3 linked regions of the Kluyveromyces lactis genome follow. The protein of the gene in region 1 purifies or fractionates together with the protein of each later gene. This does not show direct contact. Links are inferred from orthologs where the notes say so. Each region holds a gene or a part of one and is shown on either strand. Other genes may lie near its edges.

Region 1 (2,983 bases):
CATGCGTTCATCCAGGTCAAAAACGTGCCAATTATCGGGGGTAACGTTATTAATAGATCAAACACTATGTTTGCATGCATCTTCACCAACAGATCGTTGGGCAAATTGTACCGTTTCCTTGCGTATTCCACCGTAGAGCTGTGTACCCAGTACATTAAGATCGGTCCGATCACAGGAAGCAACGAAAGTACCGTGGCCCAACCGATGCCCCAATCAATCCAGATACATCCACACCCGAGGAAGCATCGGTCGTCGTACCATGCTCGGTTCTGTAACCGTTTCCATGTCTTGGTTTCCTGTTTCGTGCAATATGCAGGCAACTTCCTTCGAACCCTTTTCCCATTACTTAGTTCCGAATAGAATGGATCCTTCACCGGTTGAAACTTTGATCCCATGAAATCATCATACTTTTCCATACCATAGTCCTGAGCACTAGACTCAGCCATACTAGTGACTACACCACCCATCTTCTCGTCGCTTGATTGCCCTTTACCGCTTCCTTTTTTTGTTTCTGTTCCAGTTCCGAGGTTATGTAACATGTAGCCATCAGAGTGGTTTGAAATTAATTCTATATTTAAAATCATGCGGTTCTTCGCTGTGAAGATGTCCATTGCTTGAAATTGACAAGCCGTTTGATGTTGACGCACCAGTCATCAAGAACCATGTTCTCTTGTGTTTGTGCCTTGCTGCCTTGCAACTGCTGTTTCCTCTCGTGTATACCAACGTTGGTTAACCCGATCGGAAACTTCCCTTTACCTATACTTAAAGTAAGGTATTCTTGCTTTGCTCGCACGTAATCTTCATCTACAATGGCATCTAATACTCTTGCCAGTTGGGATAATTGCAATTGACCGAGCTCCTGTTTCCTTAATGCCACTAGAAGTGGGAACAATGCCACCTTAACCCGTTTCAAAGGCACGACAGTATATTCAGATTCTTGGGTTTCCCATTCTTTAAGTATCTCGTGTATATACTCATTGCAGCTCTCGTTCAACGGTTTCTGTTGACTGTTGTACCTTTCCTCGACTGCATGACTCATGACGCCTGCTTTGATGAACGTAAATACACCGTAGGCAGAGGTGCCAATCCACTTGGTTAGTTTCTGTTTATTTTATCGTTGATGGCTAGCTGTTTTTGTCAGTTTTAAAGATTTATCGAATTGATAATTGAAACAACTTTAACAACTTAAAGCCACAACAGGAAGGCGGAAGGAAGACAAAAGCAAGCAGAGAATCCGGATAGAGGTACCTGTTAGGTCTCATATATCCAAGCCAATAGTTAAAAATCTAATCATGTCTGAATCCAGTGGTAAAGATTTGGTGGAAGAAGTCGGTGAAGAGGCGTTCGATGGTAACGATATTGAGAACAATGAGAAAAAGGTTTATGAGGAATCGTTAGACTTGGATCTATCCAACGCCAGGAAGAAGATTTGGCTTGTACGTCTGCCTAAGTTCTTAGCTGAAAATTGGAGAAACCGTACTGCATTGCATGGACAAGAATTGGGTAAAGTTAGGATTAATAATGCGGACCATTCGATCCAGTTGTTGTTGAATGAGGATGAGGACAACAAGGACATACCGCACAAATATGACTTAGAGTTGACCAAGAAAGAAGTCACGAACGAGTACGTATTCACTGAACAAAATTTGAAGAAATATCAGCAGTTTGCCAAGGAATTGGAGTCGAACCCCGAGTTGCAAAGACAGGCATACATAAGGAAACAAGAAAGAGAGGAAGAGATGAAGAAAAAACAGCAGCAGATGAAGCGTAAGTACAACAAGAGAAGGTTTCAGCACCGTGTCATGACGGATAGGGACGGTAGAGATAGATACATCCCGTACGTGAAGACTATTCCGAAGAAAACTGCAGTGACGGGGAAAGTGTACCACGAATGTCAAGTGATGCCCTCGATAGACGATCCAAATTACCATACAATTGTGGAACATAGAAGACAAATCGTTAGAAACATCCACAAACCAACGGTTACGGTGCTTGACCAAACTCCTGGTGTCACTATGAGTAACGCCGGTATGTCGATGAGATCCGACACTTCCAAGTTCTTAAAAGTTGGAAAGGAAAAGAAGAACAACGCAAGGGCTATCCGTTTGCCAAAGAAGGAACTTTTGGATCTATTGTTCAAGTTGTTTGATGAATACGATTATTGGTCCTTGAAAGGTTTGAAGGAGAGAACAAGACAACCAGAAGCATATTTAAAGGAATCGCTAGATCAAGTTGCTATGCTTGTGAAAAAGGGTCCGTATGCCTTGAAATATACTTTAAAATCGGAATATAAAAAGTTGAAGGAAGCTGAAAGAGCTGCTACGCTTGGTGAATTGGCACAACACGCTGATCCAGAACAACAGCAGCAGATTCAAGACCAATTTGATCAACAACAACAACAGGAGAACGAGCAAGAGGAGGAAGACTTGGAAGACGTGGAAATGGAGGATGTGTTGTAGAACCCTTCAAACATAGTATATATATATATATATATATATATATATACACATAATCATGCCCCACCGGTTATCTAGTAAATGAATGGATATCTTATTCATGATGCTGGCATGTCTAGTCCTGTGATGTATTCTTGTGACCTGAACCAATAGTAGGATTAAAGAATTCAAATCACGTGATTAACAAAGGACTGTCCATTGTTAAAATAACACCCATACACTCCAAACACTGAAAAATAAAAACCCACACATCCGGATACAAAACGAGAAAATTCTCAATTGGGTAGTATAATACTCAAAGAAACCCAAAAAATCTCTAAAAGCCAACCTCCTGACACCCACACACCATCAACTAAACTTTTCACCAATCTCATCGACTGTGCTCATTGAGTATTGTGCAATTGGCAAGCCAGTAAACGTTTAGTTTCGAACAACTTTCGACAGTTTTAACGTTTTAGATTTTAACATTTGTCGTTAATAGTGGTGTTTTGTATATGTCCATTTAGTGTTTTTTTGATGTTTAGCGT
Region 2 (2,595 bases), on another chromosome or scaffold:
CTTGCTGCTTAATGAAGCACGTCTATATTTCGGTGTGGAATGTATAACGGGATTCAAGTCCTGTCTCGTAAATATCTTGTTGAATTTAGGGACAATAATTATTGGAGAAGGTGGCCTTGACGACGGAAGTGAACTTGAGCCGCCACGCGTGCTCATGTATGCACCTGCAGTAGCGGGATACACAGAAGAATTTATGGAGCCAGCCATATATCCCGCAGTATTAATTCCAGGTTTCCTAAGCTGAGATGGTTTCGTTACCTGCTGTGGCGAAAGTTGACTGCCACCAGTGACAGCAACCGACTGCCTTCTTTGTGCATCATTATAGTTGGGAAACGGTTGCTTCTCATAAAGGAACGGATCAGGCCCTGCCGCACGCGCAGGTGGTATTACTAAAGATGAGTTTCTCCTTCTGAACTGTTGTGAGGATTCATCTACAGCGTTATCTTCTTCGTAAGTAGTGGGCAAGGGGAAGTTGGATTGCTTCCTCATAGTAGACCTCTGAGACTCAGGTATCTGGGGAATCTCTTGCCATGGGTTTTTGAATATCGATTGACGTGGCGACTGCATTTGGAAACCACCAGCCGCATTTCCGCCTTGTTGCTGCCCTGCATATATATTCCCGCCTGCATTGGAGCTACTCCCAGCTGGCCCATCAGGCGCAATCTCTGGGCCCTGATTCTGGGTATTTGCCTGCGTCTGAGAAAAGTTCTGGTTCTGATTCGAACTCGACGCTCCCTGCTGAGAAGCCATGAACGCAGGGTTCCAAAGGCTATTCTTATCCCCCATTTATTATATATCAGATTATAGTCAACGTCTAACCACGTTATTGCAGCAAAATATTAGAAAAGCCTCTCTTCCAACAAAGAAATGACCAATTCACAACTCAAAGTTTCAACGGAAATACCTTTTAAACGTTATATCGACTGAATAACCCTGAGTTTCGCTTAAAGAACTTATAGCAAAACAGTAACAGAAACAAAACCAGCTAAAGAATGTACGCCTTCCTATATTAAAAAACAGCTAAATTCGAATCTGGCTATACCTAATCACGATGAGTACCAAGTACATACAGCGCTGCCCTAAAAATAAGCCCTGGTGTCCTGTACAAACAAACAGCTTTGCCAAGATTCACTTTAATACCTTAAATACAGAGAACATTCATGTCATGAAGTCATAGGGCCAATATTCTGATGTTGAGTTTTCGCATAATTACCGTTAGGAAAAAAAATGGAAATTCAATTACGATTAAAACGAGAGGTAAACTAACTTTGTCACTCGAAACATCAACTGGAGTTACATTTATCTAAGTTGTACCGTTGTCAAAGTGGCTGATTACTGGAATAGCACTTTTTGTGATTACACTCGTCTACTTTTTTGGACCGCTCTTATAGATAACAGCTCGAATTTACCATGAATACATCTACATCCACTGTTCAAACCAAGAGACGTGGGTTGAAGAAGTTTGTTGAAGAAGAGAATGCTGCCACTTTACACTTGGGAGAAGAGTTTAATTTGAAGCAAATCAACCATCAGGGGCAGGAGGAAAACCTAGTGGCTTTAAATTTGAGTGAGTCTCGTTTGATTATAAAGGAAACGCTACAGAACCGTCGGAAATTATTCAAGACATGGGCAAGCAATGGTGCATCAAATAAGGACGATGACATGGATGATGAAGATAACGTCAATGTGCATACCCAAACACAGGAGAAAGAGTTACAGGATATAGATAGATTGCTTGAACAGACCACTGGTGGACAGAATCAAGCGTTGAAGCAGACCATGATATACCTAACGAATTTTTCACGTTTCCGTGATCAGGAAACAGTAACCGCTGTATCACAGCTTTTATCATCCACAGGGTTGCATCCATTCGAAGTGGCGCAATTGGGTTCTCTATCGTGCGAAGATGCAGATGAAGCCAAGACTCTAATTCCAAGTTTAGGAACCAAGATATCTGACGAAGATCTAGAAAGAATCCTAAAGGAATTATCGAATTTGGAAACTTTATACTAAAACCTATGTACTATATCTTATATATATCCCCGGTTTCACCTCTGCTCCATCATCTAATAAATAGTTTGCCGGCACCGTTTTTCCACCATCTCATCAAGCAACTGTTTGGGTGGATGGGAATATTAGATTCGCCGTTAGGATCACACATACAACGGAGCACTAATCGTGCTGATATGGACGTGGGACATGTTTCAAATGGAACATGGCTGTATCCAATTTCATCAAAGTGGTGGATTTCATTCTTGTCTAGAAGTAATGAGGCACCTATACTGTGCACGGGTGCATCACCCCAACGTTCATAATAAAACCCACCCTTGGAGTCCAAGTAATTGAAATACTGAAGATACTCGTCACTTCTAAAGAAATTTAGATCTCCAATTTCGAAATTGGACCAGAAATGACATAGATTATAGTCTGTATTCGAATCAACAACAGGGAAAAAACGTCCCACCATCGTGGTATCCGTCAAAAAGCTTAGACTGTTGTTAGGATGTAGAATTTCTGGATAAGTATCCATGAATTCCTCAACAGCATCCCATAATGTCGTTACCGTATCCTCATATTCAAAGATAGATATCACAA
Region 3 (4,354 bases), on another chromosome or scaffold:
CCACAATCCACCTCATTTGATGTTTGTTTCGAGAATGTGGCGCAAGTTAACGGTAGATCTTTGAGCCGTTCCATTGAATTGGATATTGAATCCGGATCCGAGGCTCGTGATTGGAACAAGATTCAAGCCAGTGAAAAATTGAAACCGGTGGAAGTTGAACTACGTAGGATTGAAGAATTGACTGACGAAATTGTTGATGAATTCAACTACTTGAAGGGGAGAGAAGAAAGACTAAGAGACACCAACGAGTCCACCAACAGAAGAGTTAGAAACTTTTCTATCGCTGTCATCGTTGTTTTGGTCGCTTTGGGTGCATGGCAAGTAAACTACATGAAGAACTTCTTTAGAGCTAAGCACATTATTTAGAATGTTCGAATAGTTTCAATGCCTTGAATCTCAATACGATCTTCAAATATTGAATTGAAGAAACATACATCATATGGTGAGCCTTTTATACGTGTACAGTATCTATATATGGAAAATGGCATAATTTCTAAATCGGACGAGTAGAGGGGGAAAGGGATTATATTATGCCTAGACGGGTAGGTCTTTGTTTTTGCTAGAATTCTATGTTGATATGGCCACCAGTTACATTTATAAGTTTTGTACTAAGTTACTAGTGATATTCTTCCAAATGTTCCAAAGATTGACGTGTTTTTTAGGAAGTGAATTATTTAGTGGATTGCAATGATGCTAGTATCTTAATAAACCCATTTTACCAAGTAATTTGGCAAAGTCTAGGTAAGTGACAAATACCCTCTCGCCGTTCGTAGCCCAACTTACCATTGACAGGATAATATGTTGATCCATATCCACTTGAACAGCAGCCTTCTGGACATCTTTAACACTTATCACGTGCTTCCTTAGTGCAACCTTAGGGAACTGTTGCAATCTACCGGTATATTTTAATAGTAGTTCCCATTGTTTATCTATTATACTCTCGTTGTCCATGAAGATCAAGAGTCGATAAGTGACATCCAAGAGTTTTTCGAAATCTATGACGTCAATTCCATCCAAGCATAAGTCCTTGAATTCTAATAATCCGTACCATGATTTACTGATTTGTAATTCCGTATAAAAACTAGAAATATCAGCCCACTTGAATTCACCTTCTTCGGTGAAGCTTAAATATATCGATAGGACTTCATCTTCAATCTCGGTGGGCATTCTGGCCTCATTCCATCTGGTAATTGTGTCATAACTGACATCATTCTTTTTCCGCATAACTACATTATCTGGTCAGCAATGACTCATCGGTTAATATTGTCCTTAACGTAGCCAGAGCTGATGTTATATATTAAAGACTACATAAGGTACTAGCTGCCCGTTCGTTATGAAGTGATGCAGACTGATTCATCGGCTACTTAAGTACTTTTGAAATACTTAGGCGAGAGTTACCCTCTATTTGTGATCCTTGAAAAATTTCAATCTAAACTTCCCAATTTTCAATACAAAAATGGTAGTCCACGCTAAGTTGTAATGATGATCAGTATGCATTACAGTTCGCATTCACGATACAAAGCAACAGTCAGTAAGACGTCATGAGCGGTACTGCTGAGGAATCCGATAAAGCAGAGGCTGTTTCTGTACCTGAAACAGTTTCTGGGTCAGTTGAGAGTCAAGATAAGGAGCATAACTCTACTTCATCTTCGTCTGATTCTACAGATGTGGTTGGAGGCAAGAAAAGAACTATCGATGAAGTTGATGGGAGTTCTGAAAACAACTCTGCATCTGTCGATCAGTTAAAGGACGCTCCTACTGATTCTAAACCAAAGACAGAGGCTACTGAAGATAGTCCAATTAGGGGAAATCAAGGGAACAATCAAGAAAACAGTCAAGAAAACAAAGACGATGAAGATGATGAAGATGACAATGACGACGATGACAATGACGATGACGATGACGAAGATGAAGATGTCGAATCATATAGGAAGAAGCAACGTCGTGAAAGAAACAGATTCTTGGATATTGAAGCCGAAGTCAGTGAAGACGAAGACGACGAAGAAGATGAAGAAGATTCAGAACTAGTTCGTGAAGGTTTCATTACTCGCGGTGACGAAGAAGACGAAGAGGATCGTGGTGGTAGAGTTGATGACAGACTGCATAGAGAATTAGATCAAAATCTTCAAAAAACTGCGGATGAAGACATGCACAAGATCGCTGAAGACTTCAAGAAACGTTATGGTCGTGACTCTTCCAAAGATTACCGTGTACAAACTCAAGGTGGGTATGTACCTCAGAGGTTTATGTTACCAAGTGTTGATACTGCTATTATTTGGTCCGTTCGTTGTAGACCAGGGAAGGAGAAAGAACTAGTGAGAAAGTTGCTAAATAAGAAGTTTAACTTGGATAAATCTATGGGCTCTAAAAAATTAAAGATTCTGTCCATCTTCCAAAGAGACAATTACACAGGAAGAATCTATATCGAAGCTCCAAAACAATCTGTTATCGAAAAATTTGTCAACGGTGTTCCAGATGTCTATTCTAATCAAAAGCTTTTGATTCCCGTGCAAGAACTACCTTTACTATTAAAGCCTACCAAGTCAGATGAAGTGAGACTTGATGTTGGTTCTTATGTTAGAATTAAAAGGGGTATTTATAAGAATGATTTGGCAGTCATTGATCAAATTAGTCAGAACAACTTAGAAGCTCTATTAAAGATTGTACCCAGATTAGACTACGGTAAAAATGACGAAATCGACCCAGATACAAATCAGAGAAAGGCAAAGAGAGCAACGTTTGCTAGTAGGCCTCCTCCTCAATTATTTAACCCTACTATGGCATTAAGGTTAGACCAAGCCAACTTATTCAAAAGAGATGACAGGCACTTCACTTACAGGAAGGAAGATTATGTTGACGGTTATCTTTTCAAATCTTTTAAGATTCAGTATCTTGATACAAAGAATATCCAACCTACGGTGGAAGAATTATCAAGGTTCGGCAGTAAAGAAGGTGATGTCGATCTAGCAGCTATTGCTCAAACTATGAAAAAAGCTCAAGCTTCTAAAGCTATGTTTCAACCAGGTGACCGTGTTGAAGTGTTGACCGGGGAACAACGTGGATCTAGAGGTGTGGTGACTAGAAGTTCTAAAGACGTCATCAGCGTTAAACTATCGGGCTTTTCAGATAAATCATTAGAGTTCCCAATTGCATCTCTAAGAAAAATTTTCGAACTTGGTGACCATGTCACAGTAATAGCTGGTGAACATGAAGGTAACGCTGGTTTGGTTCTTTTGGTGCAGAACGGTCAAGTCACATTTGTTTCTGACCAAACTAGAGAAAATTTGACAATCTCTGCGAATAACTTGAGTAAATCTATGGATTCTACTCCGACATCAAGCGAGTACGCTCTACATGACATTGTTGAGTTAAGTGCCAAAAACGTGGCATGTGTGATCCAGGCTGGACATGATATTTTCAAGATTATTGACGACTCCGGTAAAGTGGCTACTGTTACTAAAGGCTCAATTCTTGCCAAGATCAATGTAGCAAGAGCGAAAGTAGCTGCTGTCGATGGTAATGGTAGAGAAATAAAAATTGGCGATGTAGTAAGAGAAAAGATCGGTTCCCGTAGAGAGGGACAAGTACTCTACGTTCAAAACCAACATATTTTCATTAGATCGAAAACAATAACGGAAAATGCCGGTGTTTTCGTTGTTAATCCAATGAATGTCGAGGCTGTCGCCTCAAAAGAAAACTTGATGTCGTCAGCATTGGATTTATCTAAAATAAATCCAAATATTGCGTCTAAGATGGGACCACCACAAACTACTCAGCAGACGCGGTTAGTTGGCCGTGACGTCGCTTTGAACAAAACTGTTAGGATACGTTCTGCGGGATACAAGGGGCAGTTGGGTATTGTCAAAGACGTCAATGGAGATAAGGCTACTATTGAATTGCACTCCAAAAATAAGCATATTACAATAGACAAAAGAAAACTTACTTACTTCAGTCATGAAGGTGGTGAAGGTATAACATACGATGAACTTGTTAGTAGACGTGGTAGAACTCCACATACCAGATTGGGCCCAAGCTATGTCAGTGCACCAAGACACATGGCTGCCGGTGGTGCGGTGGCAACGAACACTCCGCAACAACTTCCTGGTGGAATGACTCCTGGTTGGAATGCATTTGATGGCGGTAAAACTCCTGCGGTTGGCCAGAACGGAGGAACTTCATCCTGGGGTGGTGCTTCGACATGGGGCGGACAAGGCCCTGGTGGTGCTTCTGCCTGGGGTGGAGCTGCTGGAAACACTTCCACCTGGGGTGGGCAAGGTGCTACATCAACTTGGGGTGGTGCGTCCACTTGGGGTAATAAATCTAGTTATGGAGGCGCCTCTTCTTGGGCAGCAAG

What was found.
Region 2: the proteins of TFG2 (region 1) and RPB4 purify together in Saccharomyces cerevisiae (affinity purification with mass spectrometry; 4 studies listed by BioGRID, with this or other methods). This does not show direct contact. The link is inferred for Kluyveromyces lactis from reciprocal best matches to the Saccharomyces cerevisiae genes TFG2 and RPB4.
Region 3: the proteins of TFG2 (region 1) and SPT5 purify together in Saccharomyces cerevisiae (affinity purification with mass spectrometry; 3 studies listed by BioGRID). This does not show direct contact. The link is inferred for Kluyveromyces lactis from reciprocal best matches to the Saccharomyces cerevisiae genes TFG2 and SPT5.

Annotation. Positions count from the first base shown.
Region 1 is NC_006039.1:1,607,430-1,610,412, forward strand, and holds TFG2 (transcription factor IIF subunit TFG2), read left to right. Parts: upstream 1-1,292; coding exon 1,293-2,459; downstream 2,460-2,983. Other genes in the region: KLLA0_C18161g (uncharacterized protein), read right to left, coding at 1-539; mRNA splicing protein PRP18, read right to left, coding at 581-1,039. UniProt on the Saccharomyces cerevisiae protein: TFIIF is a general transcription initiation factor that binds to RNA polymerase II.
Region 2 is NC_006037.1:539,736-542,330, reverse strand, and holds RPB4 (DNA-directed RNA polymerase II subunit RPB4), read left to right. Parts: upstream 1-1,410; coding exon 1,411-2,013; downstream 2,014-2,595. Other genes in the region: serine/threonine protein kinase YAK1, read right to left, coding at 1-786; KLLA0_A05775g (glycosyltransferase family 15 protein), read right to left, coding at 2,063-2,595. UniProt on the Saccharomyces cerevisiae protein: DNA-dependent RNA polymerase catalyzes the transcription of DNA into RNA using the four ribonucleoside triphosphates as substrates. Component of RNA polymerase II which synthesizes mRNA precursors and many functional non-coding RNAs.
Region 3 is NC_006038.1:68,540-72,893, reverse strand, and holds the start of SPT5 (transcription elongation factor SPT5), read left to right. Parts: upstream 1-1,541; coding exon 1,542-4,354. Other genes in the region: ERV25 (Erv25p), read left to right, coding at 1-366; RAD33 (Rad33p), read right to left, coding at 694-1,224. UniProt on the Saccharomyces cerevisiae protein: The SPT4-SPT5 complex mediates both activation and inhibition of transcription elongation, and plays a role in pre-mRNA processing.